Neurospora crassa OR74A: one gene and its partners. The protein of the gene in region 7 purifies or fractionates together with the protein of the main gene of each other region. This does not show direct contact. Links are inferred from orthologs where the notes say so. Each region holds a gene or a part of one and is shown on either strand. Other genes may lie near its edges. The genes, in order: NCU02414, NCU08952, NCU00040, NCU07831, NCU04344, pph-3 and NCU02810.

Region 1 (3,972 bases), on a different chromosome or scaffold from region 7:
ATTATCACAGGCATTCGTGCTCATACAAAGGAAGATGTGTTGAGAGCGAGGAGTATGCGGATGTCAAATTTTCCTTCATTTTCCCGTCCATCCATTCTCCCCTTCCCAAAAAGAGAACACAAGCAATATCTCGAGGTCGCAGGTGCTGCGGGTATAAGTTCATCTACACCTCCCCCTTTTCGTTCTTCCACCCTTGCTTCCTTCTTCCAAATAATCCATCCCTCTTGAGCATGCACTTCCATTGATAACCCATCTAGTCACTATCCTCATCCTCTTCATCACTGTCTTCGTTGCTATCCTCCTCATCTGCATTCTCCAGCCATTCGACCAGCACACGACTCCTCTCCTTGATCTTGGAGAGTGTATCATTCTCTGCAGCCCTGGCATCCGCCCACCAGGCGAGAATACCTTCCTCCTCGAGAACGTCCAAGTTATAAAGCTGCTGCAGCATGGCGGCAAGTAGCGTTCCTGCGCGCGCAGAATCAAGCCCCTTAATGGCTGCCAAAGCTTTCTGCAACGCGAGGGCAAACTCAGCGTGGAGATCGACCTTGTTTCCGCCGACGCCAACCTCTGTAATGAACTTGACGGCACCCTTCTTGGACGTAAGAGCCCGGCCAGCGGCCTTGGTAGGCTCAAGACCGCCGTTTTCGGGACTCATGAGCTCGGCGGCGCGAGTGGCAAAGGCTACGGCAATGGCCTTGCGCATCATGCTGTCCGAAGCATTATTGGCCAGTCTCAAACCCATGAACTCCAGCTTCGCAGAGTCGAAATCCTCGTTGTCGTCAGCACGGAGGGCATCTACAAGTCCGTGAACAGCGTCACCATGAAACTGGTCGAGCTTCATGACGGCGGCAGCGGAATCGTCAGACGCGAAGGAGGATAGGCGCTCCCGGTTGGTCTTGGCTTGGAGGCCTTGCTCGTACTCGTCATCCGAGAGGTCATCATCGGAGTCATGGGTCGCTAATGTGGAGATGGACTCGCTTGAAATGTTGAGGCCAGCCAAAGAGTAAATGAGAGAGCTTTGGAGAACTGCGGGGTCCGCATCGCCTTCATCCTCGGAGTCACTATCCTCGTCGTCTTCTGGCTCTTTATATTGGGCTCCCTTGCCATCGTTTCCGACCAGTTTGATGTCGGTCTTGACCGGCTCTCTTTCACTGGTAAAGAGGGATATTCTCGGTAGGGGTTTGGATGAGAGTTGTGTTCCGGCGCTGATCCGCACACCGTAGGAGATGAGAGAGCCTTGAGGAATGTAGCTGTGCTTACCAATGACTGCATCGTTGGCTACAATGGAATGCAGAACAGTAGCACCGTCTTCGATGACCGCGTCATCCCAGATATAGCTGTTCTCTATCCTCACGTTCTTTCCGATCTGGCACCTCCTTCCGATGATACTGCTCGAGATTGTGCTGCCGGTGTCGACATAGGCGGTCTTCCCTAGTACGGATTTGGTTACTGTGCTGTTTTTTGCGATGTGTGCGCCATCCTCTAACCACAGACCCCGTTTGTACTTGTAAGTTTGTCCGTGAAGAAGGTTGCTATCGGGGACATACGGTAGCGCCCAGCGGTGGAGGATATCCTTGCTGATGCAATCATACATCTGAAGGTTGCTGGCGCGAGCCCCGTAGCCTTCCTCAAGAATCTCGGCGCTGATGATCTTGCCGTTGAGCTCCCAGTCTTTCAGTACGCCGTGAAGGAAGTTCTTGCGGGGAAGCTCGTAGTCGAAGCTCTCGGACCACAAGGCCAAAACATCTGGCGTGCAAATATCGATGCCACAATCGATCAGATCGGTGCGTAAGTCGAACTCAGCATACTCGAATACCGACTCGTCCAACTTGACATACTTGTCCTTCTGAAGTGGGTGCATCTCTTCATATTGCAGACAACGGCCGTTGGTGGGGTCGACAACAAAGACAGGAGTAATGCCCCGGGCCTTTGCAGTCCGGTGAGGGCTGTCTCCTGTTGAGCGCAAGACGATGGTCATGCAGGCGTCTCTGTTGGCCTCTCTCCTTGCGCGGTGCCTAGCCAGAATACCATCGAGGGGGATGTTTGCGACAACATCGCCATGAATCAGAATGAAGTCACCCGAGATAAGACTGCGCTTGTCAAGATCTCGCAAAAAGTCACCGATGGAGCTTGCGTCGGACACGCGGATGAAGTCGACAGAAGAGAAGGGGCAGAGATTGCTTTCAGGGCTCCATCGGTCAGAGTCGTGGATGTAGGTTTCGACGTCTTCGGAGTGGGCGCCGCAGTAGATGAAGACCTCCTGGACGCCGTTGGAGGCTAGATACTCGAGCGTGTATTCGATAACGGGCACGTTGACCAACGGAAGGAGACACTGTCAGGAGAAGGCCGTCAGTACTCAGAGGTCACCAGGGACAAGGGACACGAAGCATTTAGCACGAAGCATGAAGGCATTTACCCTGGGCTTTTCAAGCGCGAAAGGCTGAAAGCGATCTTGGAAAGAATCGGCGAGGATGACGGCCTGGAGAGCATCTTCTCTCTTCTCCTCGGCGCCGCCCTTGGCGGGCTTTTTGGACTTATTGGCAGCCCCGCCCTTGCTGACTTGCTTGCCCGACATTGCCAACTGAAGTCTATTTATCAGCTCGAACTCTACAGGAATGGGTCGACGAGGGCCTGGTTGAGTAAGTGGCCGCGGATCGGGAAGCGCGGGGAAGACTGTGGTAGAAGGAAAAAGGTGGGGCTGCACAATGTCAAGAACGGCGCGTTTGAACTTCAAAGCTGGGGTTGATGATGCGCCTGCCTCGGCCGCCGTGCGGTACCAAAACCTTGCAATGATGAGTCAACGCAGTGACCCAATTTGTCCAAACTTTCACATTGTGTTTTCCGTAAGGTACTGCATGCTTGGAGGTGGGGCGCAGGGCTATCACCTGTGGCTTGTACGTACCATCGGGGCCTTAAGTTTACCGTACCGCGTACCAACTGCACTGAGCCTTACAGGTGGTAACTTTCATCAGTGGAAAATTGTGGCGTTGGAAATCACTAGCCGCATTTGGGCTCCCATCATATCGATCATGACAACTGAAGTAGCCGCATCAAGCACATCATAGCACCGGCACTGAACAGTACTTCGTGTCCTAGTCGTGTACACTACAACACGATAGTGCTTAGCATCTCCCTTGGCCGCACAAAAACGGCAACATGTATGAAAGGGAAGGTACTAAGTAGTGTGAATAGTACACTTGAGCCCTGGAAAGTTCGTTAGCTCGGTACATACAGGGGTTTTGACAAGGGAGGCGACTAGGGATAAATCCAATCAAATTACGCATACGAGGCCCGCACAGGAAGAACAGGGACAACAAAGCTACCGTAAATCAATCAATTTCACATACTAAAACCAGGGATTCTCAAATACCACAATTGTAACCGTAACCTCAGCCAAATCAATAGTCGGTATACCCGCCTTTTGCCTTAATAACCGCCTCAAGCCTTCTAGGCATTAAATATACTAAGCAAAGTAAGTAGTCCTCTAATACAACCTCCCAAGCCTTCTCGATAGCCAATTTAAAGCTATTCCCAATCAGTCTAATTAGGTATTCACACTCAATCCATCTCTTCATAAAGGCCCAAACGTTCTCAATAGAATTAAAATCAAGGGAGTAGGGCGGCCAATCGACAATAGTAGCGCCAACAAAAGCATCCTTTATAAATACCTTCGTTAACTTCGAACTATAAGCTAGTGCATTGTCTTACATAACGACAAAAAACGAATTCTCTTACCAAAATTACCGCAGAAAAGGGAAGACATACTTCTAGTAAATATCGCTAGTAATCGTACCCCAATCCTTATAATTCCAAAAGAGGAATGTACCCTTTTTTTTACCTATAAAGTAAATCTAAAATATCCATCCCCGAACTCTAATTTTAATTTTAACGAAGTCGCTAACCTTCTCATCCTTAAAAAGGGTAACGAAATAACAGCTTTAAGTAACGCTATTTACCTACGTCTCATTA
Region 2 (4,179 bases), on a different chromosome or scaffold from region 7:
AGGAGCGTGCGTGTGACATTTTGGTGGTAGTTGACTTTGACTGGTTGGATTATCGCGATCCGGCCGAGCGAGCGTATGATTTGAGGTTGGAGCGGATTCCCCGAGGAGGTAACGGGTTGAGCTATGTGGACGATGGTCGTGGGTTTTTGGACCGTCGGTGTACGGATCGTAGGTAGGTATGTAGGTCGTAGATGGATAGACTATGGGATCATGATCGGAGGTAATGACCCGTGGGGATTTGCACTGTAGGAGTCTTGAACAGTGGTTGTGTGTAGTGTAGGTATATAGACCGTACGTGTGTAGGCCGTTCGAGCGTAGACCGTGAGGATGTAGCCCCAAACAGTCACGTGGATGGTATGAAAAAGGAGCTGGAGAAGACGGAGAATGACTCCCGCTCGAAGAAAGGGACGCGATAGACAAGTATCGGTGTCTGAAGGATCGTGAAGTAAGGACAAGCCGTTGATGTATTGATTTACGTGGATAAATGACCTAAGGAGCGAGGAACCGAGTACGTAGACGGATGACGAGAAAAAGAGAGGGAATTAATTCGAGTGGAAAGAGAATGGATGGGCAAGTTTAAGTATCTGTCAGACTCCCTGTGCAGGGAGATGTATTTTCCAGGGAAATATATTTCGGCGCGCAGATGAAGTCCGACATAACAGCATCCGATGTCCGCAGCGGAGGCCCCGATTCCTGCTTATATACGATATCCTTACGTGATGCTGTACTGCACTCATCTAGATCCTTAAGTTCGATGGCGGCCCAGCAAGAAAAAGCGACACATCTTGTCCCTTCACCCCATCTAACCATGCCCGTCGAAGCCTCTGCCAGCGTCCAAAGCTACTGAGTCCGGTGAATCCGCAAAACCTCGCCATCGGGACTACCGAAATATGCACGATGATAAGGAACAAACAAGTTTATGGGTACAGATATGACTCTTCAGTTGACATATATGCAACGCACGATGTTGTATTTTCGGAACGCATATTGGTCGGCCAGGTTGAACCAGGAACAGTCGAGAGGTATTTGAACGAGTATTGCATTGGACCGGCAGCATGATACATTATTAACCGCGTCTTTTTATTTTCTTCATTTTTTTCTCTTCGGCTTCTAAGGCAGATGCAAAGACAAGCCCATATCTTCGAGCTTGTAATGGTCGGCCATGATGGTGGCAAGATGATCTCGTGTTTGGGGGCCACTGTAAAGTTGTTAGTGTTGGGGTTCTTCAGTCATCAAAATTATGGGTTCAGGGCTTACAGGTTTGTTAGGTATACATCGACGTATTGGGGTGGCAGGTACTCGCCCACGATGTTCTCTACCTCGAGGGCATCGACGGCCTCACCGTCGGCATAGTCGACATACGTCGAAGAATCTCCCTGCTCGAACTCGGTCCCATCGTCCGACGGATCTACGGGGCAGAACTTGTAAACACCGCTTAGAACGATAACGGGCTTGGAGTACTCCTGCGCTGCCCTAGCAGCAGTACTGCACCCACTCTCTGTGGAAATACCGCCGTTCGCATATACGGCCTTGGCGCTGATAACGACCTTGTTCACCCTAGGCATATAGGCCATCAAGCCGTTGCTAGCCAGGCTGATGGCGTTGACCCCGAGACCGTTGAGCTTCTTCCGTAGGGCAGCATGGGGCACCTCGCCGGGTTTTTGACGCTCAGCGCTGGCGATGAACACGGTAAACCTCCTCTTTGCTGCGGCTTTGAGGAGGAATCTCTCGACTGTTGGGGAGGGGAGGTAGGCGAGCACGTAATCGCCGGGGTGAATCTGGATGTCCGCGAAACCCGCAATCTGGTCGTCCGCCTGGCTGATCTCGTCCATAATCTCTTCGATGCCATCGATAACTTCGGACCGTAGGGCATGCATGTTGGCAGATGCGCCCTGGGACATGGGGGTAGATGCGCCGGTAACTGGTGACTGTGCGGTCTCTGAGACGCAGAGAAGGTTGAACATGGACTTGGACATGGGGAGAGTCGCGGCGCGGAGGGGCGTGGGGCCTGGCCTTGTGGAAATGGTGGGCGTTGTGGGCAGCTGGGAGAGGTCGGATACTGAGTCGCCCATCTCGTCGGCATTTCTGTCCTCGGAAGCCTCATCACGAATAAGACCCATTACTCGGCGGACAACGTTGCCGATGACTTGCTCAGTGGGAGCAGCTTGGGCAAGTCTGTGGCCGGTGTTGGAGACCTTTGCGAGCAGCTGATCGACGTTCTGCCACTTAGACTTGGCGACGACCTGGAGCAGCATATGGGCTGTGGCATTGGCGACATCATCGCCCTTGACTTGGCGACGTTTTAGGAGGCTGCCCAACCATGTTAGGATCTGATATAAGATAGATATGAAGCAGGCGTAGGCGTACTAAATAAGAGCCTCGATAGAAGCCTCCAAGGGCTGAGTGTTGAGAGACTTGAGGAGCTTGCCCAACGTGGGGGCATAGCTCATTTGCGACGACGCCATGGCGATGAGCTGTGTATAGTACTCTGTGTGCTACTGAGGTATTGTGGAGGTGATGTCGAAGTGAGAGTGCGACTGTTCCCTGCTCGAGGCTGTATGGTCTTTACGAATGGTACTGGACGGATATCTATGAAATCGATATAGGCGGGGGGGAATGACAAGGCTGCTGGTCGCAAAAAGGTTCTCCAACAATAGCTTCCAGAACTGGGCCAATGTCGCTTGGGATTGTGGACTTTTTGCCAGTGAATTGTCGAGGTGAGTCAATGGCTCACACTGAATGCGCTTGGAGGTAGGTATCACAAGCTCTAGAAATTTAGTGGGGCAGGCAAGCAACCGGCCTTCAAGGACAAAGCACTGCCGCTGTTTGCCAGTTTGCGGCAGGCTAGAAGCAGGCCTTGTTTAAGTTCAAGACTACTACTAATCCCTGTCGTACTGAATGGAAAGCCCCACCAAGCAAAAGGTGGAAGTTTAAGACATTTCCTCTTATCGCGTGCTTATCGGAAAATTGGTCCCTCTTATCGCACCCAATTCCAGGCGCTCACCTGCATTATCGGCCCCCGGGCGGAACGGCTTTACAATTGGCCTACAAATTTTTGGTCGCGTCGCTCTGCTTTGATTGACTGGGTCACTTGATGGACCCAGTAAAATCTGCGTTGAAGAATCCATTTCTGCGATCAACCGCCCCATCACGATACCAAATACCTTGACGCCCCAACCCAGTAACTTTTTTTTCTCTTTACTGCAGTGGTTGTCTGTATAACCATTCTTTAATTCCTGTTTGATACCCCATCCCCCTCCACCACCAACTTTATCTACACACACCCAACCACCACCACCAACAACAACACACACACACATTTAATCCGACAAGATGGGTGCCACCGACAAGATCAAGGAGAAGAAGGACAAGTCCGAGAAGAAGGACAAGAAGGAGAAGAAGATGAGCGAGGAGGCCGGTGTCAAGAAGGAGAAGAAGGACAAGAAGGAGAAGAAGGAGAAGACCGAGAAGCTCGCCAAGGCCGTCGAGGCTCACCTCGAGAAGGAGGGTTCCGTCGACCCTGAGGATGTCGTCAAGACCGCCGAGGACCTCGTCCCCTTTGCCCTTCCCCTCGCCGACGACAAGACCCACAAGAAGATTTACAAGTTGATCAAGAAGGGTACGTTTTGTGACTACTCTCCAATTGCATTGCCAGGCTCCTCAATCGCAGCCCACGCACGACTTGTACTGAACCCAAGCTAACTTTTGATTAAAAAAAACAAACAGGCGCCAAGCTCAAGTCCATCCACCGCGGCGTAAAAGAGTGCGAGAAGGCCATCAAGAAGTGCCCCCTCCGGACCGCCGCCTCCCCTCCCGCCGACGCTCCCGGCCTCGTCATCATCGCCGGCGACATCTCGCCCATGGACGTGATCATGCACTTCCCCATTCTGTGCGAGGAGCACGGCGTTCCCTACCTGTACATTCGCTCGCGCGCCGACCTCGGCGTTGCCGCCTGCACCAAGCGCGCCACCTCGGTGGTGATGCTCAAGCCCGAGGGCAAGAAGTCCTCTGGCAAGGAGGAGGGCGACAAGGTCGACCCTGCCGAGTACCTCGAGGCCTACAAGGAGCTGGTCAAGACGGCGCAAAAACAGTGGAACGTCCAGGTCGAGCCCTGGGTCAAGGGTACTCACCCGCTCCAGATCGAGGCCAAGGTCAAGGGCACTGCCTAAATTGGCGGGA
Region 3 (4,201 bases), on a different chromosome or scaffold from region 7:
TCATGCGGATCTTGTTGCTGTCAAGGGTCTCGATGTCCTCACCCTGAAGTTCCTCAAGCTTCATATCCTTGAGGAGGGCTTCAACTTCCTTCCTCTTGATTTGCTCGCGCTCGTTGGCAAGACGCTTCGCCTCGCGGAGCTTCTGTTCCTCGGCAAGACGGGCGGCCTCAGCCTGTTGGAGGGCCTGCTCCTGGAGCAGCTTCTTGCGAGCGTTCTCCTTCTCCTTCTGGGCCTGAGCCTCAGAAGCCTTATCCTTGCGCGTCTGGATGATCTCCTTGCGAGCAAGGACCTCCTGGTGCTCCTTCTCGGCTCCAGCCTTAGCACGAGCAAGGGCCTCATCACGAGCCTTGATGCGAGCCTCGTTGAAGCTAGGATCGATATAGCGGCAGGTGGTGTAAAGAGCCTCAGCGAGGCGAGTGAGCTGAGAGCGCACAATCTGGGAGGGAGTGCTCTGGAGACGCTGTACAGAGCCAGTCTCGCTCTCGGCAGAGCCGGCAGAGGAACCGGCGTGGACAGCCTTGGCGGAAGAGAAGACATCAGCATCGAAGCTAAGAACGCCAGTGGCGTGGTCCATGCGGATGGCGAGATCGCCCTTCTTGTTGCCGTTCATAATGAACTTCTCAATGGTGCCGCGAGTGACCTGGAAAGGCTCGGGGAATTGAGCCAAGCTCTCGACGAACTCAAGGTCGACAGTCTCATACACCTGCGAAAGCTGCTGGAACAGGCGGGTGAGAATGACCTGCTGAAGAGGAAGGATGTACTTCTGCATCTCGGCATCGGCGCCAATCTCCGCGAGAATGGGGGAAATCTTCTGGCAAATGGAAAGAGGATGGAAGTCGACCTCGAGGATGTTGTAAAGATCGCGAATCTGGGGCTGGGCGCGGCGGAGAAGCGACTTGGAAAGGGCATCGCGGAAGAGTCCAGCACGGGTAGGAGCCTGGGCCATGCCGAGCAGGTGGGTCAAACGAGAGTTCTTGTTCTTGCGGGCCTCATCGAAGTCCACCATGGCACCGCGAGAGCGCGAGGTGCTGATGACGGGAATGGAGAGGGCGGAGAGAATGACAAAGGTGGCAGCCCTCTGGAGGTCAGCATCGCTGCAAGCCGGGTTATCAGCCTTCTTGCTGTGGCCAGAAGCAATGAGAGCAGCAGACTGGCGCAAGAGGTTGTAGTAACGAGCCCAAGCAGCGGCGTGGAAGAGGTAGTTCTCGCCGACAAGGAAGATACGGGTGAGCTTCTCGTAGTAGTTGGCCATCATGACGTTCTTGGCGGGGCGCTTGCTGAGGCTGAGGAGGGTGTGGATATCCTCAACACTGCGGAAAGCCTCCTGCCAGAGCTCGAGCTCAACGGCGACGTTGAGCTGCTGGAAACGGGTCTCAAGGTGACGCTGAAGAGTATCGGGGTCGTTCAGGTTGATGGCGTGCATCTGGGCCGAGTACTTGGCGGCGGTCTGGACATGGTTGCGGAGAAGCTCGCAGAGGCGGCGGAACTCGGTCTTGCGGGTGTACTTGAGGCAGAAGTCGAAAGCCTGCATAGCGGTGCTCTGATAGAGAACCTCGAGGCGGGCATTGTTCCTGAGAATGTCAAGAACAGTGCGGTAAGCCTCCCAAAGGAACTTCAGCCAAGGAGTGACGATAGCGCGGTCGGTGCGGTCGCGAGACTGCTCACCGGAAACGGTAGCGAGCAGGATGGACTCGGGGGTCTCGCTGGCCTCGAGATCGTCGATGTTGGAGGTGGTGGCCTCGATGCTGGACTGGACCTCGTCGGCCTTGGCCTGGGCAGCAGTGACCTTCTCGGCGGCGAGCTCGATGAACTTCTTGAGAACCAACTCGATGGTGGCGACGTTGGTGTTCTGGGCGATGTTCTTGTACTGGTAGAGGGCGTCCTTGGCGAGCTTGCCCTTCTTCTGCTCGACGGAGAGCTCGACGAGTAGGAGCATGACGGGCTCCAGGGAGGCGATGGGGACATTGCGGGAGCGCTTCGAGGTGATGTGCTCGTGGAGCAGGGTCAGGGCGGCGGGGGCCTGGTTGACCCCGATGAGCTCGTGGGCGCGCTTGAGAACATTCTCAGGCTTTTGGTGAGGTGGGGGAGGCTGTTGATGATCAGTAATGGTCACCACGGGTCACAACACACGACGACACTTGGTGGTGAGCGGGACAGGCGGGGAGCGGGGGTGGTCGAGGGTTGAAGGGGGGGGTGGAGGGCAGGGTGGGCGGTGATGAGGTTAGGTGACGATGGAGTTGGCTTTCCAGTCAAAGGAGGGGCAGAAGATTATATGAACTCGAAGCCATAACCATAAGGCTATGGCTGTATTCCCAACTCACCATGATGGGCAACTCCTCGGCACTTGGCTAATCTGGAGGAGATATGGATAAAGTGGTGATAGGGGACGCGGCGCGCAAAGCAGCACGTAGAAATGCTGGAGACTTTGGCTGAGGCTGCGCTGTCCAGGACGATTTTTTCGCCTCGTGGAGAAGTTCAGTTCGTTGCCAGCCAAAAAAGCCCTGGCCAAGGCTAGAGGCTCGATTTTGCTGAGGAGCACTTTGTGGGCTGGGATGATGCGGGACAGTCACGTGATGCAGCTTATCGAGCACGTCGCTGCGACAACAACTCAGAGGCGTGAAGTGCAAGTTGTTGTGCGAATGGATGTTTGGTCACTTCTGTAGCAATGGGGATTGACTGAGATGCAATTATTTTCTTGATCTTAACCGTGATCTGCTGTGAGGCTATTGTGCACAATGGTAAAAAGGTTGGATTGTCGCAAAGGGCAAGTGGGATGTTCTGCCATCTTGGCGTCTGGTGCTGTCCAGTCTGGTGTACACTAGAAAGGAGCTCCATGGTGTGTGTGCACAGCGGCTTTTGTTCTTTCTTTGTGCCCGAGTTCCCAGCCCGCTGGCGACGGGCGTTCTTCTCTGCCGGGCCACGGACCCCCGCCTTGACCGATGACGGACCGTCGGCGGTCTTGCCAAGCTTTCTCACGGCTGTCATCGACGAAATTGCACTTTGAGGCTTAGTTGGAACTTGGAACAGAATCGTGGTGCGAACTTCGGTCGAGTATTGAGAAGATAATCCCCAGTAAGAACATATATCCTCCTAAAAGGCATATGATATCGCTGCTTGAACTGCTAGAGTGGCTGCAAACTCTTCTCCTGTAGCTGAATGCACACCAGCAACTGCATAGGACTTCACGGTCTGTGATTACTGTAGTGTACATACATACATACATACATACATGCAGAAACAGGAGGCTCTCCTCTGTACCCTCGTCGTCCCACCCAGAGCGTTCAAGCTCGCGTCCATCATCGGTCGGAGCAAGTGGGCACCCACCCAATGGCGCCATTCCCAATCCCGTCCGGAGATGCCTGCTGAGCCGGGGTGGTTCCGCTAGACCATCAAAGGGGGGACGATAAAGTGGGGGCGGAACCCGTCGTGTTCTGACTGCCCTGCATTTGCCATTCTTGCTGCAGCTTTCATGCACAGCAGCACCGACAGATCCAAAAAAGGTCCCGTCGGTTGGTCGGACTAGTCCTGTCCCTGCCTATCCAGCGGCGGTGGCAGCAGTCCATCTTCAACGGCCTCCATCGTGCTTTTCTTTTCCTAGATCTTGACCTCCAGTCCCGCTTCCAGAAGCTTGCAACAATGTCAATCACAATGGCACGGATGGGGCAGGACAATAGGGAGGCCGGCACCTCATCCTGAATGCGGAGCTCGTGGTGATACTTGCTATCTTGTCTTGATACTAACTCGTCTGCACCCATTCCGTCTACGGTCGTAGTTAGTGTCGAGTTAATCTAACCAAACCCTGCTAAGCGACCCCCTGGTCCGTCTCATTTGCACTTGGCCCTTTTTTTCCTCGTCGCCCTGGGTTGCTTTGGCTGCCCAGAAGAGGAGTGCAGCACCGAAAGCGACCAGCATTGCAGCAGTGCAAGTGCAGGTAAAAGCGCAGCACTGCAGCAGGCCAAGCAGGGGGAGACTGGGGCGTCCATGCCTGCTGGGGAATTGCACGGACTGCACCCGCCTACCGAACCGTTCCCTGCTGCGCTGCTACTGGTTCTACAGGCTGCGCACTGACCCCCGTCGCGGTCCGGGGCCCGCCAGTGGCACTGAAGGAATGAAGGAACTTCCATATGGGCGCCCCTTCTCTTCCCAAGACTTGCTATTAGGAATCGTCAATCGTGTGTCGGTCCTAAGCATTCCTGGCATC
Region 4 (4,061 bases), on a different chromosome or scaffold from region 7:
CTCAACACCCTTGCGGAAGATGACGGTCTCGGTGACCTGGTCAAGAGCAGCCGCGAGCTCCTCGTGGCTGATCATCTTGCTGACGACAGCAGAGACCTTGCGAGAGTCGAGCTCAAACATGGAGCTGAGGGTAGCAATGGCGAGAGTGTCGTAGAAAGGAGCATAGGTGAAGAGGTAGGTACGGAGACCCTCCTCCTGGATCTGCTTGGCGAGCATGGTCTTGATACCCTCGGTGTTCGGCATCAAGTCCCAGATCTTGATGCTGTGAATGAAGTCGGTGGCCTTCTTCCACTCACCAGCAGCAAGGGCCTTGGAGGCCTGCATGACGTGATCCCTGGTGTTCTCCGGAGGCCCGGTAAAGATCTGGCGTTCATGGTACTCGAGCATACGGCGGTAGGTCTTGCTGATGATCCTCTTCTTGACATCGGGCGAAGAACCGGTTTGGGCGAGCAGAGGAATCTCGAGGAGCATGCTGCAGGTAAGGTAGACGCACTCAAGGAGCTCGAGGTTGATGTGCATGTGGAAGGGAAGCTGGCGCTGCTTCTCGAGGCGCTCCTGCTCAGGGGTGACCTGGCTGTAACGCTGGATCATGACGCCCTGAGCAAGAAGCTCCTTTTGACGGCCACTGCCGCAGATCTCCTGGAGGGTGTTCTGGGCGTCGTAGACGAGACCCTTGCGGAAAGCGCAAAGGCCGACCTGAACGAGGGTGCGGTTGTAGAGAATCTGGGTGGCGATGTCGAAGTTGGCGATAGTCTCCTGAAGATGGGAAGTGAGCATCAGGTCGCGAGACTTGTAGTACTCATCGTGCAGAGCCAAGAAGTAGATCTGGCAAAGCATGGCACGGGCGCGGATGATGCCCTCGCTGTTCTCGAACAGGTAGTTAGAAAGGATGTTGATGAGCTTGCCAGCATCGCCGGATTGGCTGCGGGGGGTAATTTCAGAATCGGCCTCAGCAGAAACCTGCTTCCACGCGTTCTCCTCGAGGATCTTGACGACTTGGGCGGGCTGAAAGAAGATGATTAGCAAAGACGGCTGAGTATTCCAGCATTAGCTCTATACATACCTTGTAGTAAACATGGTCCAGACGCCTCTGGATGATGCGGTTCAAGCTCTCCTGGGGAACCTCGAGGGAAGCATCCTTGCGGAGGTGCTCGTAGTAAAGAAGACCACGGAAGATGGTGTTGTAAAGAGAGCCCTCATCGGTTAGCCTGTCGATGTACTCAGAGGTGTGAGGATCGATGGCTTGGAGGGAGCGGGTGAGCTCGTCATCGAGACGCTCAATGAGCGAGACAACGCTGCCGGGAACCTTGAGGTACTTCTCACCCTCGGGGATGGTGGGGAGCTTGTCATCATCATCCCACTCCTCAGCGCCCTCAACAACAACATGGTCCTTCTCCTTCTCGAGGATCTCCAAGAGAGAGGCAAGGTCACGCTCAGCGGCCTTCCACTGGTCCAAAGGCATCTGGGCGGCGCCACCAGCACCAAGATCGAAGCGGGCAGAAATAAGGGTCTGGAGGACACGGATCTTCTGGTAAGGGGTAATGGGGACGACCTTGTTGAGGGTCTCCATAACCTTGATCTGCTCGAGGCGGTCGGTGTTCTTCTTGCCGCGAGACTCGATAATGGCGCGGAGGTGCTTGAGGATGCTCTCGGGGGTGTACTGAACAACCTTGCCGCGCGAATCGACCGTAGAGAAGCCCTTGTCGTCCTCTTCCTGCTGCTCAGCACTGACGACGGGAGCCTCGAACCGGACCTTGGAAACAACCTTGGGCGCGGCAACCTCATCATCCGACTCCATGAAAGCGTCCGCATCCTTCCTGTAGGCATCGATCTGGGTCTGGTACTCCTTATTGTTCTTGCGGATGCGCTGCTTGACGGCGTTGAGACCACGGGCATTTGTCGCGTTCATCTTCTTGGGAGTGACCTTTTGCTTGGCGAGAGTCTCGTTCATGAAGTCCTCAAGATCGGCAATGGCCTTGATGTAGGACTTGGGCGCCTTGCTGCCATCTTGGAGCTTGACGACCTGACGGTTGAGCTTGTCGAATTCTAAAGCGGGGAGGGGAGTAAGTATCGGTGCAGGACATATCGAGGGTGTATGCATGCATGAAAGATATACGAACCGTTGGCGATAAGACTCCAGTCGTTGATCTTCTGGCCGTTCTGGATCTGGCTGATGGTGGACTCGAGTTCGTCGAAGCGCTTGTCCTTGGCGCTCTTGACCTTGGTGGTGGCTTCATCGTCGCTCTGCTCTTCCTCCTCCTCCTCGGACTCGTCGTCGCTCTGCAAGAAACGGGAGGCACCCTTCTTCTTGGTTCCTTCTTCCTCGTCGCTGCTGGACTCCTCGTCGCTCTCCTCCTCGTCAGACTCCTCCTCAGACGAAGACTCGTCCTCGGCCTGAACCTTCTCCTCCTCCTCCTCCGAAGTGTAGACCTCCTCCTCCTCGGAGCTGCTGTCGGTGGAGCTGTCGTCACCGCCGCGGAAGAAACGAGACATGGTTGCGGTCTCTTTCGATAGACTCGGAATAAATATGCGGGTTCCGGGGGTATGGGCGCGATGCAGAAGTCCGGGTTACCGGTATGGGTACTTGGAGTGGTGGACGGAAGTGGTGATGGTCCGGATGGTTGGCAAAGCAAAACCCGGCTGCGGCGAGGCGGACAGAGGGGTCAAAGAATTAATTTTCACTGAAAGGCCGTTTTGGTGGGGGCGATTTGGGGCTTAGCGAATCGAGCGGAGCTGTTTGGGCCTCGAGCGCTGTAATGATTGGGTATGACTTAATCCGAGCAAGGGGTGTGGGGGGAGAGGATACTTGCTCCGCGGGGGGGAGGCTGAACTTATGAGCTGAATGTACCTGCTTCCGCTTGGAGATCGCAGGACGGGATTCCTAGAAGATGAAGATAAGGTCTGAACCTTGCAGATGTTCGCATGAGGGATCTGTCAGAGGAACGGGTTTTTGTGTATACTTTGGCGAGCGGAGCGAGGGAACAATATCAAGCATTGCTTTGTCAGGCCTTCACTATGAGATTCAACACCTGTCGTCTGGGTACTTGGGCGCAAACAGCCAGCCAGCTGATGCCCCACCTTCAATGTATCAGCTACCTGAACTGATAATGTATCACTATACTCGGTTACATGCATCTGAGACGTGCTGTGAGCTTGTCAAGCCAGATCTACCACGTAACGGGGATTGCGTATCGAAAGTTACAGTACGTAACAGGAGACGTTTCGCCACGAAGTCGAGAAGTGACAGCCCAGCCTGCCCAGTCGCTGCAGGCAACCAACCCCAGGCCCTCTTTCACTAACTGGAGTGGCGGGGACGCTACCGGGCTGCAGCTGCCAACAAGCACCTGCACAGCGAAGAATCCCGCTGCCAGGTTTCCCGTTTTGCGCGCCAGGACCTGGACCGCCCGCCCTGACCTCTGAACTTTATCGACCGCCCACGCAGCTGTCGCGAGGCTGTTCAAGTTTTTCGTAACGAGGCCAACCTGCCAACGTCAACGCCAGCATCCTGGCGCCACCAAACCACACTTTCACGAATACAACATCCACCTCTCCATTCTCAGCTTGATCGACCATCGCCGCGATTTGGTGCGAGGTCGACCTACGCCCATTTCCATCTAAAACCAATGGGAATCTAATATTTGCCAGTCCTTTTTTCTCTTCCTCAGCGAGACAGGCCTTGGAACGACGCACGCGGACTGCAAACCGCCATCGCGCGGACAGGCGACTTCACGGTATCCAGCCTTCTATCCATCTCGTCGCCAACGCCGACTGGTACACGCTTCTGACGAAGACGATTACAACGAAACAACCACATAAACGTCAACAAAGCTTCATCAAGCAGAAATCGAAAAAATGTCCTATCCGCCACCACCACCTCCTCCCCCCGGCTGGGGCGCTCCTCCGCCGCCATCAGCACCTCCGCCGCCGCCGCCTCCGTCCTCTCTCCCACCTCCTCCTGCCCTCCCAGCACCGCCGCCGCCTGGGTTCTTTCCACCAACCGACCCTCATGTTGCCAAGTTCGCCCAGAAGAAGAAGGAATGGCTTCGCATGCAGAGAAATCG
Region 5 (3,515 bases), on a different chromosome or scaffold from region 7:
GACTCGCTGCGCTCCTCGAAGCCGACGCCGAGCATGGCCTTCTTGCCGGTGGTGGGATCCTGCACGCGCAGGGCAAAGAAGCGGCTGCTGTCGATGGTGGCCTCGACGACGGCCTGGGTGGTGTAGGGGGCGGCGGCGATCAGGTCGTTTGTGGCAGGGTCCTCGAGCACAATGTCGACCTTGACCGTGTCCTTCTCTCCAATCTGCTCGGGCGTCTGCGGCGGGATCGAGGTCTCGATGATGCGCACGCGGCCGGTGAAGATGTGCGCCTTGGGGTCGGCGGTCCAGTCGGCGGCCATGTGGCCCTTGGTCGAGCGCATAGGGGGGATCTGGTAGATGTGGACCGAGGAGGAGGTGATGTGGAGGATGCGCTGGATGGCATCGGCCGGGAGGGGGGCCTGCGTGGCCGGGTCTATGAGGGTCGTCATGATGTGTGTTGTGTTATGGTGGTGGTGGTGGTGGTCACGGTCGTAATGGTGTTTCTGTCCTTGTGATTTGCTTGCTAGCGTACCTAGTCCCTATGTCGGCAACTTATAGTCGACGCTCAACAGGAAGCCAGGGGGGGAAGAAGAAGAAGAAGAAGAAGAGACTGAAGCCAACATCGCCAACCAACGGGTCCATACACCTAGGTAGTTTCAAATGCCCGATGAAGAAAGAGACAATGACGGTAAAGGGTCCTCCGCTACTGTAGAAACCCCTAAGTTAGCTTCACATTCCCCTTGCTGCCCCTGTTCCATGGAAGCGGACGGCGGGGCGGAAGCCACAGGAAGTACCTAACAGTGGTAGCAGCGCAGATGCCAGGGGCAGCCTGGAGTAGAAAGGATCCACGCAGCCCCAGGGGGGACCCTCAGTGTTTCGACCCTGTAAAGAGCCCCCGAAAGGTCCGTGAGGTGACTGGTGGGCGGCGGTGACAAGCCGCAACACCTGGCATGGAAATCACCCAGGGCAGCAACAACCCCGCTAGGTAGTAGTGTACACTAGCAGCTGCCGATAGCGGGGCACATACCTAGCGGGCATGAAATGGAAACAAAGAATGGCCGGAGAGCTTCGTTGACGTGCAGTAGGTACACTCAGTAGTAGGTACGCATTGAGGACGGTGAGTGGCGGCAGAATACTTCAAAGGGCCGCCCGCACTTGGGAATTTGGGATGAAGAAGGTTACATGTACAGCTAGTAGAGGTAGGTACGCATCTTGAGTCACACTTTCAGATCAGACCAGACGCACGCTTCTTCAGAAAACGCTGCATTTTATCGACTCTGCATACCACAAACCAGATCATTGTCGCAATACATAAACCTGTACGATTTGACAAAGCCAAAACCTGCCTGCCTGCTCCAAGTCTCCCAAGTGACTAAAACACCCCGAACCCTCCCCACTTGGATCGACCGCCGCAACAGTGCTTCCTCCCGGGAGGACTTGTATGTTTTGGCAACGAAAACCACTTCCCACACCTTCACAATATCAACACACTTTGTCGTCTTCTCCAACAACCCCCATAGAAACATGGCCACCGACGACCTATCCAACAAGCCGCTCGCGGTACGGACGACATCGTCCACCTCCACTGATGGCGCCTCGTTCGAGTGAGTTTGCTTTGGCGTAATTACCACACGCGTCATAACCAAACCGCGCTGAACCCTTTCGTCGCATTGCTTGCCTCTGACCAAGACAAACAAACAGCATCGTCAAAACCTACCGCGACCTCCTCACCTCCGACCCCGACATGACTATGCCCGTAGCAGCCATCGAATCGCTCATCGAGCTCTTGCGCGTCACCCCTTCCTCAACAGCCATGGAAACCGTCGAGGTCGTCAAGACCCAAAAGGCCCTCCTCCTCGACTCGGCCCCGAACCCTCTCCCTCTGCTAGCCGGCGCCGACCTCTTCGAGCAGTACCTTCTCCGGTCGCTTAGAGGGCAGACCGCCGAGTCCTTCGACGAGACGAAGCGCCACCTGCTCAACAACCGCCAGCTCTTTGCCGCCCGCGCCAAGGCCGCCCGCGACAACATTGCCGTCATCGGTTCCCGCTACATGTCGCACCGCAAGATCGTCCTGGCCGCCGGCGGTTCGCGGGTGGTGACCAAGATCCTGGTGCACGCCGCCACGACCCGGACCAACACGCACTTCAAGGTCATTTACGTCATGGACGGCAGTCCGCACTGCGACGCCAGCGTCTCGGCCCTGCGCGACGCCGGCCTGGAGGTGGAGACCATCTCGACCTCCAAGGTGGCCTACGTCCTCAAGGACCAAAAGGACATCAACATCGTCCTCGTCGGCAGCGAGGTCGTCATGCAAAACGGCGGCATCATCTCGCGCATGGGCACTTCGCAGCTTGCTCTGCTCACGCGCTTCGCGGGCGGCTCGCAGAAGCGCTTCTTGGTTGCTGCGGAAAGTCACAAGATTGTGCGCAAGACGCCCCTCTGGCACCCACAGGTGTTGAGGGTCGGCGTCAAGCAGAAGGATATCAGCAAGTTTGACAACGTGGGCGTTGACCCTGTAGGCCAAGAGGCGAGGGATTGGGTGGCGGATCGCGATGAGGTGGATTATACCGATCCGGAGCTGATTGATGGCATTGTGACGGAGCAGGGAGTGAAGCAGCCGAGTCAGATTTGGGAGTTGGTTGATTATGAGAAGTGAGGGGGGTCTTGCTGCCCGATACTGAAGGTGAAAGGTGTTGAAAAGCGTGGGTAACAAAAGGGCGGTTTTATGAATGGATGGATGGATGGATGGAACTGCTTGATCATTTTCAAGTTATCGGTGTGGTTACTGTGGTAAATATCCTTGCAGCATTATTAGGCGTTTTTAACGGGAAATGGGATAGGTACCTGATATCCTTTGGAGGTTTGGTTGATGAAAGAGTCTCTTTTCTCACTTGCTTGGCCTGTGAAGGAAAACAAAGTACGTGCTAAAGTTAAACCAGGGATGCCTGATCGAGTGGAGTGACATATGAAACCACCCCATTCATATACATGTAGTTGACCGAAATTTCATAACCAAGAAAAAGATACCCATCTGAGTACTAACCAAGACTGCGCTATTCACGTCGTCTTCACTTTCCAACCAGCCATAGTCCACCACCCATTACACATACAAACACAACGACTCACAAATCCCTAACAACTCTCGCCCCCACCCAAGCATAAGGATAATTCCTCTGGTACCAATTCACAAAGCTCTTCCTCCCCGCAATCCTCGGATGCGTAGCCCAGCTCCCTCCCAGCACAATGTTGTGCTTCTCATCGAAAAAATCCGCCGTATAGCCGGGGTACAGCTCCATCGGCTCGAACCCCTCCCACTTGCGGAGGACCGATGAAGTCCATTCCCACACGCCGCCGAGCTCGCCTTGCCCGACAAGGGTGTTGCCTTTGGAGGTGATGGGCATAGGGTGCCAGTTGTGAAAACCGACATTGGCACCGTCTAGGTCAGAGAAGAGGTCTTCGGTGGTGATGAGGGTGGTGTTGCTGTCGGAGGGGGAGGAAGACTCGGCGGGGGTCTCGGAAGAGGGAGAGGATGGGGG
Region 6 (3,976 bases), on a different chromosome or scaffold from region 7:
TGCGCATTTGCTGTCGAGCTCCCAGTCTCACTGATCTTGCGGATACACGTCGGCGGCTGAGTCGCTCGAATATTTTGCTCGTTGTTGACTGGATATCCGTTGCCTGTCGACCTGTCTTTATACTCCTTCGCTTCGAGCTGTTGTAATCATGCATACCGGGTGCTTGTGCCTGATCTAGGTGTAGGCCATGTAGCCAGGCTGCCCTGCCTATCATTGCGTTTGCGGAACCTGATGCTGATGGTGGGGGGAAACGAGCAAAGAGGACAAAGCCGGAATACCAATGCAAAGTAACAACAAGGCGACCAAGAAGGCATTCCCGTCTTTGCTATTGCCGTGTACATACCAGGTAAGGTGTCACACTCACAGTCCACTATCTCTACACAGGGAGGGGGAAGTTGGAGGGTTGGGAGAGATGGAAGTTCCAGGCGACACCCACCAACGGGATCGCAAGCGGCTTTTAGGCGAGCCAATCCCAGGCCTAGACCTGCCAAGGAGGGTCCGGTGTTCGGGACTCTTGCTAACAGAAGTGCTCGCAGTTGCGGGGGAAGGCAGCGCAGCTCCTACCCAGTCGCGTTAGTGAGCAACATGGACCGACCTATCATCATACCTGCTTCCCCAGAGGCGAGTGCATGCAATTTTTCTCGAGCCAAGTTGGAAGGGCCGCTTCACTGCAACTGGAAAGGGCACAAGGGCTCGGCCAGGATCTGACGGAGATTCAGAGCGGGCGCGAAACCTAGGTAGGTACCTACCTACCTGGCTGGCAACCTAGGTACCAACTACCTAACCTAGCTCACCCAATCTGAGCCTGTCCTTGTTTGGGTTATTTCAGCCGTAGGTAGGTATGTTTGAGTTTAAGTTGAGGGTTGTTCTGGCCTGCCATCGCGTCGGATGTTTCGAGTTTTTTTCGTTCCATGTCACTGAGTGCTGTCCTGTTCATTCCATCGATGTGGATGAGAGCCCAGTCGGCGGAAAAGATCACAACTGCACCGAAACCCGACCCGACCGGACGCCTGTTGTGGTTGTTGTAACGATAACCTGACTGGCAGGCACCGAGGTGACCTGACCTGGGCTTGAAAGAACGCGGACCTGGACCTGGACCTGCCTGCCTACCTCTACCTACTGCTCTCCACTGCTAGTAGGTAGTCTGGAAGCCCTGTGCGTTTCATTAGCTGCGTTGCGTGCGTGTAAATCTTGCTGCTCCATCGGCCCAGTAGCCCAATCCCTTCTCTGCGTCCCCGTCCAGTCCAGTCGCCAGTCTTCTCTACCTACCTACCTCTACCTAGCCCATCGCCCGGCCGGACCCCCCCCCCCCAGCAGCGGGCAGCCCAAGTGGAAGCGTCTGCGCTTGTCCGTCTCCTCCCAAAAGTCTCTAAGCAACCACCACCGACGTTGATTTTTTTCTCCCGACGCTTTCTATCCCAACCAAAACAGGGCGACGTCTTTAACCACAAAGAACGCGCATTTTCAACCCCACCCTGGCGATAGAAGTCCTATTATCATAGGCATCATCTCGCGGTATCTCGTCTTCTGGCCTCCGTCGCTCAATTAGACGCAGCTTTTTCCAGCGACCCTCCGACCGGCCCAGCGCTCTGTACTGCACCTCGCTGCAGCACTTTGCACTCTCCCGGGCAGTCCATCGACCAGTTTTTCCCGACCGTGGTTTTGGCAGTGGCAGTGACAGCCTCTCCCGCAGTCTCAGGACTACTTGAACTCCCCTTCTACACCCGACCTTTTCGAACCCAGATTTTCGACGACGACACGGCGTTTTGCCCCAGCCCCGTCCGCGCGACAAAAAAAAAAAAACACGTTACCTCACAAAGGACGATCAGAGACTTCTGGAGCCGTCTCCTTTTTCCATCATTGCTAACCCTCTTGTCGCCGCGTACTACCGGACCGATTTCTTCGCAATTCCGACGAGATTTGCTTGCGCTTGCTCTAGACCGTTCGCACCTCCGCCAAACCCAGTGACGATTTACTAAAACCAAAGCACAACATTCGGTATCCGAAAGAATACCTATTTCCAGAAAAAAAAAACACCAAAAAAATCACCGCTTGCTGTATTCCCAAGGAGAACGCGTTCGCCTCTCCAAAAAAAAAAAAACCCCCAACAATCGCTTCTTGCTGGGATCGCTTCTGAGCGTAAGTTGATCAACTGCCGTTACATTGCGGCTTCCCAGTCTCTGCCCAGCCGTCGCTCCTCCTTCATTTTCCCGCCATCGCGATCGCGTGCGGCAAACCCCAATCAGAATCTGCGTCGTCATTGGCAATGTCTAACGTCTTGAATTAGTCGTTTAGCTTTGCAGAAGTGCATCTACCCCAGTTTCCTACTCCTTACGCGTGCCGCTCTTTTAGACCCGTCCCATCCGACTAGCTGGGGTTTGTCGGTCGTTACCGTGACTTCGAAAACCTGTGCGCGGTATCTCTCCGGTTGGTGAGGATTTTGCAATGGCGGACCATACCGAAGTCGACCTCGACTCTATAATCGACCGCCTCTTGGAGGTGCGGGGCAGCCGGCCTGGTAAGCAGGTGCAGCTGCTGGAAGCCGAGATTCGCTATCTCTGCACCAAGGCCCGTGAAATCTTCATTTCCCAGCCCATCCTGCTTGAGCTCGAGGCTCCTATCAAGGTAAGCATTGTGTTCTTTCTATTATCCCTTTACATAGCCTCGGCATGCGCCATACTGCCCCTTCGGCAGTGTTCATAGCTGACGTCGTGCCCCACCTCCCTAGATTTGCGGCGATATCCACGGTCAATACTATGATCTCCTCCGCCTCTTCGAGTACGGTGGCTTCCCTCCTGAGGCCAACTACCTCTTCCTAGGTGACTACGTCGATCGTGGCAAGCAGTCCCTGGAGACCATCTGCCTGCTCCTCGCCTACAAGATCAAGTACCCCGAGAACTTCTTCATCCTTCGTGGCAACCACGAGTGCGCGTCCATCAACCGTATCTATGGTTTCTACGACGAGTGCAAGCGGAGGTACAACATCAAGCTTTGGAAGACCTTCACCGACTGCTTCAACTGCCTACCGATCGCTGCCATTATCGACGAGAAGATTTTCACTATGCACGGTGGTTTGAGCCCGGATCTGAACTCAATGGAGCAGATCCGCCGAGTCATGCGACCAACTGACGTACGTTACACCATTCATGCCCGGGCTTTCCGTTTGCTCAGGCTAGTTGCCGTAACATGAGACACTAACAATAGCGCCAGATTCCTGACTGCGGTCTTCTTTGCGATCTCCTGTGGTCGGATCCCGATAAGGACATTACTGGTTGGAGCGAAAACGATCGTGGTGTTTCCTTCACATTCGGCCCGGATGTCGTTTCTCGCTTCCTCCAAAAACACGACATGGATTTGATCTGCCGTGCTCACCAGGTTGTTGAGGACGGATATGAGTTCTTCTCGAAGCGCCAGCTCGTTACTTTGTTTAGTGCCCCCAACTACTGCGGCGAGTTCGACAACGCTGGTGCTATGATGAGCGTCGACGAAAGTTTGCTCTGCTCTTTCCAGGTATGTTTTTCTGACTTTGGCAAGCTCCGAGACCCTTGCACTCTTGCTAACCCCCTTTGCAGATTCTCAAGCCCGCAGAGAAGAAACAGAAGTACGTTCCCAGTCTCAGATGAAGCAATTCAAGACCCCCAAGAAGCACAAGTAAAGAATTTTCTTACGAACACACCCGTTTTCCTTTAGGTTCGGCCGCCGATAAACGTCTGATACTTTCGCCCGCCCGCAACGAACATGAGTATCTTACCGTCAGCTTGTCTACCGCCGCCATGTTTCCTGATCGCCAGGGCTCCCAGCCATCATCCCGTCTGCCGTCTGTTCCGACCACTTCTTTTGGGGAGGTCCTCGCCCCTCCTGCCGTGCCAACGAAACGAAAGCCACGTCTGCCCGTCCTGTCTCTCCATCCGTCCGGTCTCCACACAACTCGAGAGGGTAGGAAGGAAAGGGAATCTTTTTATATCTCGGGGGATGA
Region 7 (3,926 bases):
ATAGACTATCAGGTCTAGAAAGAGAAAAATGAATAGAGTTACGTACGGATACATACTCGACTGTGTCCCATGAAGAGTATTGTTAGGTATATTCTTGGACTCTTTCCATCTATCCGAGCCATTACCATAGCCTAGTATAATGGTAAGATGGTCATTACGTCGAAGACTCATGGCGGAATCAATGTATTTATCTTCTCTACTTCACTCTTTCAAGTTTACTCTTATCATCACCACTGGCTAATAAACTCAATCCAAGTACGTCGGACCTTGACAAAATCAACGTAATGGCATCTTCTCTACCTCTACCACTACTTGGTAAACCCAAAGTACGTCGGTACCAAACATAACTTTTTGTACAAAAACTCCTAATGGTCCGATAATGCGCTTCTCTTCACGAGTTCCTCTTTTCACAACATTCCTCGCTCATCTTCTTCAACGAATCGTATGACCAGTCTTTCTACTGTCCTCGGCCCCAAGTTGGATAAAAATAAGACCATGTACAAATTTCACAAGGCTAGTTTTTAGAAACACAGGTCCCGGTTTCCCCACGCTACGCCGTTTCCTTCCGTGTCCGCGCCCAAGTTTCCATTCTTTGATCATCCTCCAACGACTTTTTGGATATTCATCATTAGAGCAACCAAAAATTAACAACCTTTTAATTTTCCTCCTAATCAAGCGATGTATAAACTTTGGATATTTTCTGGTCGCTCGCTTAAGAGGTAGAAGGCTCGAGGGTGACACCGCTGTTTTTTTTGTTAGTGGTTATTCAGTGGTGATAAGTTATGGGGTAAAGAAATAGAAAAGAAAAAAACTTACGCAGCAATGGTAGCCCAACCGATAAGACGCCAGTGCTTCTCGATACGTCTGGAAAGGGCAACCTTCTCGCCGATGCTCGTGCAGGCAGGGGAGGTGAGGATGAGCTTGGCGGCATCCTTCTTAATGGCGGAGACCTTGGCACCGGTGGAGGTGGAACCAATGTTGACCATGATGACTTCGTTCTTGGCAAGCTTGTCGACCTTGGCCTGCTTGCCGTCGGCGGTGCGGACACCGAGAAGGCGGCGGAGGAGGTAGAAGTTAACTTCGATCTCGGAGTAGATTTCGGGGAGGCGGCCCTTGAGACCGAGGACGAAACCGACCAGACGATCGGCACGGCAAAGGGTAGGATCGATGCGGGTACCAACACCAATGAGACCACCGGGCACGGCGTACTTGAGGTCGTTGGCCTCGGAGTTGAGGGAGACAATCCTGCTGAAGATGGGAGTGCACTTGAGGTCGCCCTTCTCGTCACGGGTGACGATACCGGGACGGATCTCAATCTCGTCGCCGAGCTTGAGGACACCGTGGAGAATGGAACCACCGGCAACACCACCCTTGAGCTCGTCGATCTCGGCACCGGGCTTGTTGACGTCGAAGGAACGAATGACAATCATCTGGGGGTCCATGGAGAAATCCCTGGGAGGAACGGGGATGGTGTTGACGATGGCATCGTTGATGGCGTCAATGTTGAACTTGAGCTGGGCCGAGATGGGGATGATGGGCGACTTTCCGGCAACGGTACCACGGATGAACTTGAGGATGGACTCGTAGTGCTGCTTGGCGGCCTCCTCGCGCATGAGATCGACCTTGTTCTGGAGGATGATGATCTTGTCGAGCTTCATGATCTCGATGGCGGCCAAATGTTCGGAGGTCTGGGGCTGAGGGCAGGATTCGTTTCCGGCAATCAGGAGGAGAGCGGCGTCCATGACGGCGGCACCTGAAAGCATAGTGCTCATGAGAATATCGTGACCAGGGCAGTCGACGAAGCTGGGAGGAGGAGACACATGGTCAGTCATTCATTGGCGCAAATGATGTTATGTTAAACAACTTACGAGACATGGCGCAACAGACGGTAGGTGCCCTCGCAACCCTCGCGCTCGCAAGGGGGATCAACCTCCTTCTCGGACTTGTAACTCCTGTAGCATGTCGGGCGAGGGCATGCTGGGTTGTCGCACTTGTAGATCTTTGCGTTGGCGTAACCGAGCTTGATTGTGATGTTGCGGATGAGCTCGTTCTTGAAACGGACCGTCTGGACGCCCGAGATGGCTTTTACTACTGTCGACTTGCCGTGGGCGACGTGGCCGATGGTGCCGATGTTGATGGTGGCCTGTCGCGCAATGATCTCGGGGGTGAGGGGGCTGAGGGTCTTGACGTCGAGGTCCTTGGGATCGGTCTGGGGAGGAAGGGGAGGTCTCTGGACGACGGGGGCGGGGGCCTTCTTGAGGGCCGACTTGCGCGGCTTGGCCTCGACCTCGTTGTCGGACTCGTGCTGGTCGACGTGAGACTCGTTGTCGGAGCCCGAGTCGGACTCGACGATGTCGTTGCCAAACTTGTCGCCGTTGGTAGCCATGATTGTGGATGTGGGTGGATGGAGGTGAGGTGTGGAGGTGAGTTAGGTTGGGTCGTCAAGTCGATGGATGGATGTGTCGCGGGGCAGTAATTTTTTCGCTTTCGGTGAAGCAACCCCTCTTGCTGTGTACTGTGTAGTGGGTGGTGTATGCCTGGTAGTTGCTGTGTACTTTTCTAGACCCTGCTCCTTGGTGTGGGTATGTATGTGGGTGTCCTACTGTCTCCGCAACGGGACTCGCGATATTTGTGATAGCGGACGTTGTTGGTGGACGGTAGAGGTAGTAAAACTGGACCTGCCAAAATAGTGGGGTTACAGCGAAGGTTGGAGGAAGGCTGAGAAGAAAAACTGCCTGCCTGGTGGATGACTCTGACGATATTTGACTTGTATTTGGCTTGTGCTAGGTCGGTATTTTCCTGTGCTGCCGCTGCCAGCTGCGACCAACAAGGCGAGAGCCTCACACATTCCGCTCTGCGAACCTGCCCTGCGTGCGCCCAACCCTTCCCGCCTTTGCCGCTGCCCCACTAAGCACGGTTTTCGGTTTAGCCCGACCGTCGCCTGCCCCACAAGGGCCGATAAGAGCGCGATAAGGACCAAGTAAGTGTAGTGCTAAAGTCCAGAGCTCAGTCACGGTTCAGCTTCAACATCATTGAGGTGACTTTTGGAACCTCTCTCCTATCAAGAGTTCGCCATCTACACTTTTATCCAACCCTCTGTCCCGTCTGTGTCGGCAGAAACTTACTCACAGCGTACACGGTAACTCAACGCTGAGAATTATATCAACTGAACGTTGAGAACGGGTACATTGTATCGATCGGCGAGTTGAATCCGGTTTCTTTCTTTGAGAACAATCGTTACTCTGCAACGGCCTCTCCCATTGACACCGGCATCCTTCGACGTACATACAAACGTTTCCGGGTCGATAAGCTGATCCATCATCAACAACGCCGAGTCTGCTTGTCGTCGTCAACTCTGAGGAGCACCCACGATGCTGGTCATGGCCACAGTCTCAACTCTATGAAGCTTGGTTAAGGGCGTCATCAAAGTCGTACCTGCTGCCAATGCCTGACTGTGGAGCGAAAAGGTAGGACACGAGGTGTCTTCTCCTGGATTCGACCCTTTCCCGTCAAGTTATTCGATATCTTCACGAAAGGTGAGGCTCATCGCTCTTGGGATAATAAGGGTTCAACTAGGGCTCAGTCTCGGGATAATAGCGCTGTGAAGAGTTGAGCCAAGTGGCCCGAATGTTGTCCTCCGTGATCTTGGACTGAGGCAGGGAGTAACTGCAACAGCTGTGCAAGCGTTACAGGATCATGTTATGTTTTGAGTGTATTTTGCTGGGAATATGCTCGATATACATCAAAACTACATCGGCCACCAACACGCTTCTCTCCCGGCCCCCAAAACACGCCCAAGCCCTTGTTTCACATCCAACCCAGATGCTTGTTGGATCGGAATCGGGAAGATTCCGGGGCCAAGACCTGTTCAACAGCGCGTACAACCGTCTCTGATGGTTCGAGAAGCAGTCTAGTAGGATTCAAGC

Evidence for each region.
Region 1: the proteins of NCU02810 (region 7) and NCU02414 purify together in Saccharomyces cerevisiae (affinity purification with mass spectrometry; 8 studies listed by BioGRID, with this or other methods). This does not show direct contact. The link is inferred for Neurospora crassa OR74A from reciprocal best matches to the Saccharomyces cerevisiae genes GCD11 and GCD6.
Region 2: the proteins of NCU02810 (region 7) and NCU08952 purify together in Saccharomyces cerevisiae (affinity purification with mass spectrometry; 8 studies listed by BioGRID, with this or other methods). This does not show direct contact. The link is inferred for Neurospora crassa OR74A from reciprocal best matches to the Saccharomyces cerevisiae genes GCD11 and GCD7.
Region 3: the proteins of NCU02810 (region 7) and NCU00040 purify together in Saccharomyces cerevisiae (affinity purification with mass spectrometry; 6 studies listed by BioGRID, with this or other methods). This does not show direct contact. The link is inferred for Neurospora crassa OR74A from reciprocal best matches to the Saccharomyces cerevisiae genes GCD11 and RPG1.
Region 4: the proteins of NCU02810 (region 7) and NCU07831 purify together in Saccharomyces cerevisiae (affinity purification with mass spectrometry; 4 studies listed by BioGRID). This does not show direct contact. The link is inferred for Neurospora crassa OR74A from reciprocal best matches to the Saccharomyces cerevisiae genes GCD11 and NIP1.
Region 5: the proteins of NCU02810 (region 7) and NCU04344 purify together in Saccharomyces cerevisiae (affinity purification with mass spectrometry; 4 studies listed by BioGRID). This does not show direct contact. The link is inferred for Neurospora crassa OR74A from reciprocal best matches to the Saccharomyces cerevisiae genes GCD11 and GCN3.
Region 6: the proteins of NCU02810 (region 7) and pph-3 purify together in Saccharomyces cerevisiae (affinity purification with mass spectrometry; 3 studies listed by BioGRID, with this or other methods). This does not show direct contact. The link is inferred for Neurospora crassa OR74A from reciprocal best matches to the Saccharomyces cerevisiae genes GCD11 and GLC7.

Annotation. Positions count from the first base shown.
Region 1 is NC_026507.1:2,573,194-2,577,165, forward strand, and holds the start of NCU02414 (translation initiation factor eif-2b epsilon subunit), read right to left. Parts: upstream 2,801-3,972; 5' UTR 2,579-2,800; coding exon 2,420-2,578; intron 2,336-2,419; coding exon 254-2,335; 3' UTR 1-253. UniProt on the Saccharomyces cerevisiae protein: Acts as a catalytic component of the translation initiation factor 2B (eIF2B) complex, which catalyzes the exchange of GDP for GTP on eukaryotic initiation factor 2 (eIF2) and is regulated by phosphorylated eIF2.
Region 2 is NC_026505.1:5,799,596-5,803,774, reverse strand, and holds NCU08952 (translation regulator GCD7), read right to left. Parts: upstream 2,801-4,179; 5' UTR 2,466-2,800; coding exon 2,368-2,465; intron 2,311-2,367; coding exon 1,258-2,310; intron 1,199-1,257; coding exon 1,111-1,198; 3' UTR 451-1,110; downstream 1-450. Other genes in the region: NCU08953 (hypothetical protein), read right to left, coding at 1-19; NCU08951 (ribosome biogenesis protein Nhp2), read left to right, coding at 3,334-3,619, 3,727-4,169. UniProt on the Saccharomyces cerevisiae protein: Acts as a component of the translation initiation factor 2B (eIF2B) complex, which catalyzes the exchange of GDP for GTP on the eukaryotic initiation factor 2 (eIF2) complex gamma subunit.
Region 3 is NC_026503.1:2,375,198-2,379,398, forward strand, and holds the start of NCU00040 (eukaryotic translation initiation factor 3 110 kDa subunit), read right to left. Parts: upstream 2,801-4,201; 5' UTR 2,325-2,800; coding exon 2,322-2,324; intron 2,090-2,321; coding exon 1-2,089.
Region 4 is NC_026503.1:1,003,716-1,007,776, forward strand, and holds the start of NCU07831 (eukaryotic translation initiation factor 3), read right to left. Parts: upstream 2,801-4,061; 5' UTR 2,494-2,800; coding exon 2,121-2,493; intron 2,047-2,120; coding exon 1,064-2,046; intron 1,006-1,063; coding exon 1-1,005. Other genes in the region: NCU07832 (pre-mRNA processing splicing factor 8), read left to right, coding at 3,853-4,061. UniProt on the Saccharomyces cerevisiae protein: Component of the eukaryotic translation initiation factor 3 (eIF-3) complex, which is involved in protein synthesis of a specialized repertoire of mRNAs and, together with other initiation factors, stimulates binding of mRNA and methionyl-tRNAi to the 40S ribosome.
Region 5 is NC_026504.1:3,704,339-3,707,853, forward strand, and holds NCU04344 (translation initiation factor eIF-2B alpha subunit), read left to right. Parts: upstream 1-1,185; 5' UTR 1,186-1,503; coding exon 1,504-1,583; intron 1,584-1,680; coding exon 1,681-2,635; 3' UTR 2,636-3,015; downstream 3,016-3,515. Other genes in the region: NCU04345 (adaptin ear-binding coat-associated protein 2), read right to left, coding at 1-428; egt-1 (DUF323 domain-containing protein), read right to left, coding at 3,102-3,515. UniProt on the Saccharomyces cerevisiae protein: Acts as a component of the translation initiation factor 2B (eIF2B) complex, which catalyzes the exchange of GDP for GTP on the eukaryotic initiation factor 2 (eIF2) complex gamma subunit.
Region 6 is NC_026503.1:2,384,687-2,388,662, reverse strand, and holds the start of pph-3 (serine/threonine-protein phosphatase PP1), read left to right. Parts: upstream 1-1,176; 5' UTR 1,177-2,139; intron 2,140-2,287; 5' UTR 2,288-2,445; coding exon 2,446-2,625; intron 2,626-2,728; coding exon 2,729-3,130; intron 3,131-3,210; coding exon 3,211-3,510; intron 3,511-3,572; coding exon 3,573-3,601; intron 3,602-3,690; coding exon 3,691-3,706; 3' UTR 3,707-3,976.
Region 7 is NC_026501.1:9,046,539-9,050,464, reverse strand, and holds NCU02810 (eukaryotic translation initiation factor 2 gamma subunit), read right to left. Parts: upstream 2,801-3,926; 5' UTR 2,387-2,800; coding exon 1,869-2,386; intron 1,804-1,868; coding exon 817-1,803; intron 744-816; coding exon 713-743; 3' UTR 253-712; downstream 1-252. UniProt on the Saccharomyces cerevisiae protein: As a subunit of eukaryotic initiation factor 2 eIF2, involved in the early steps of protein synthesis.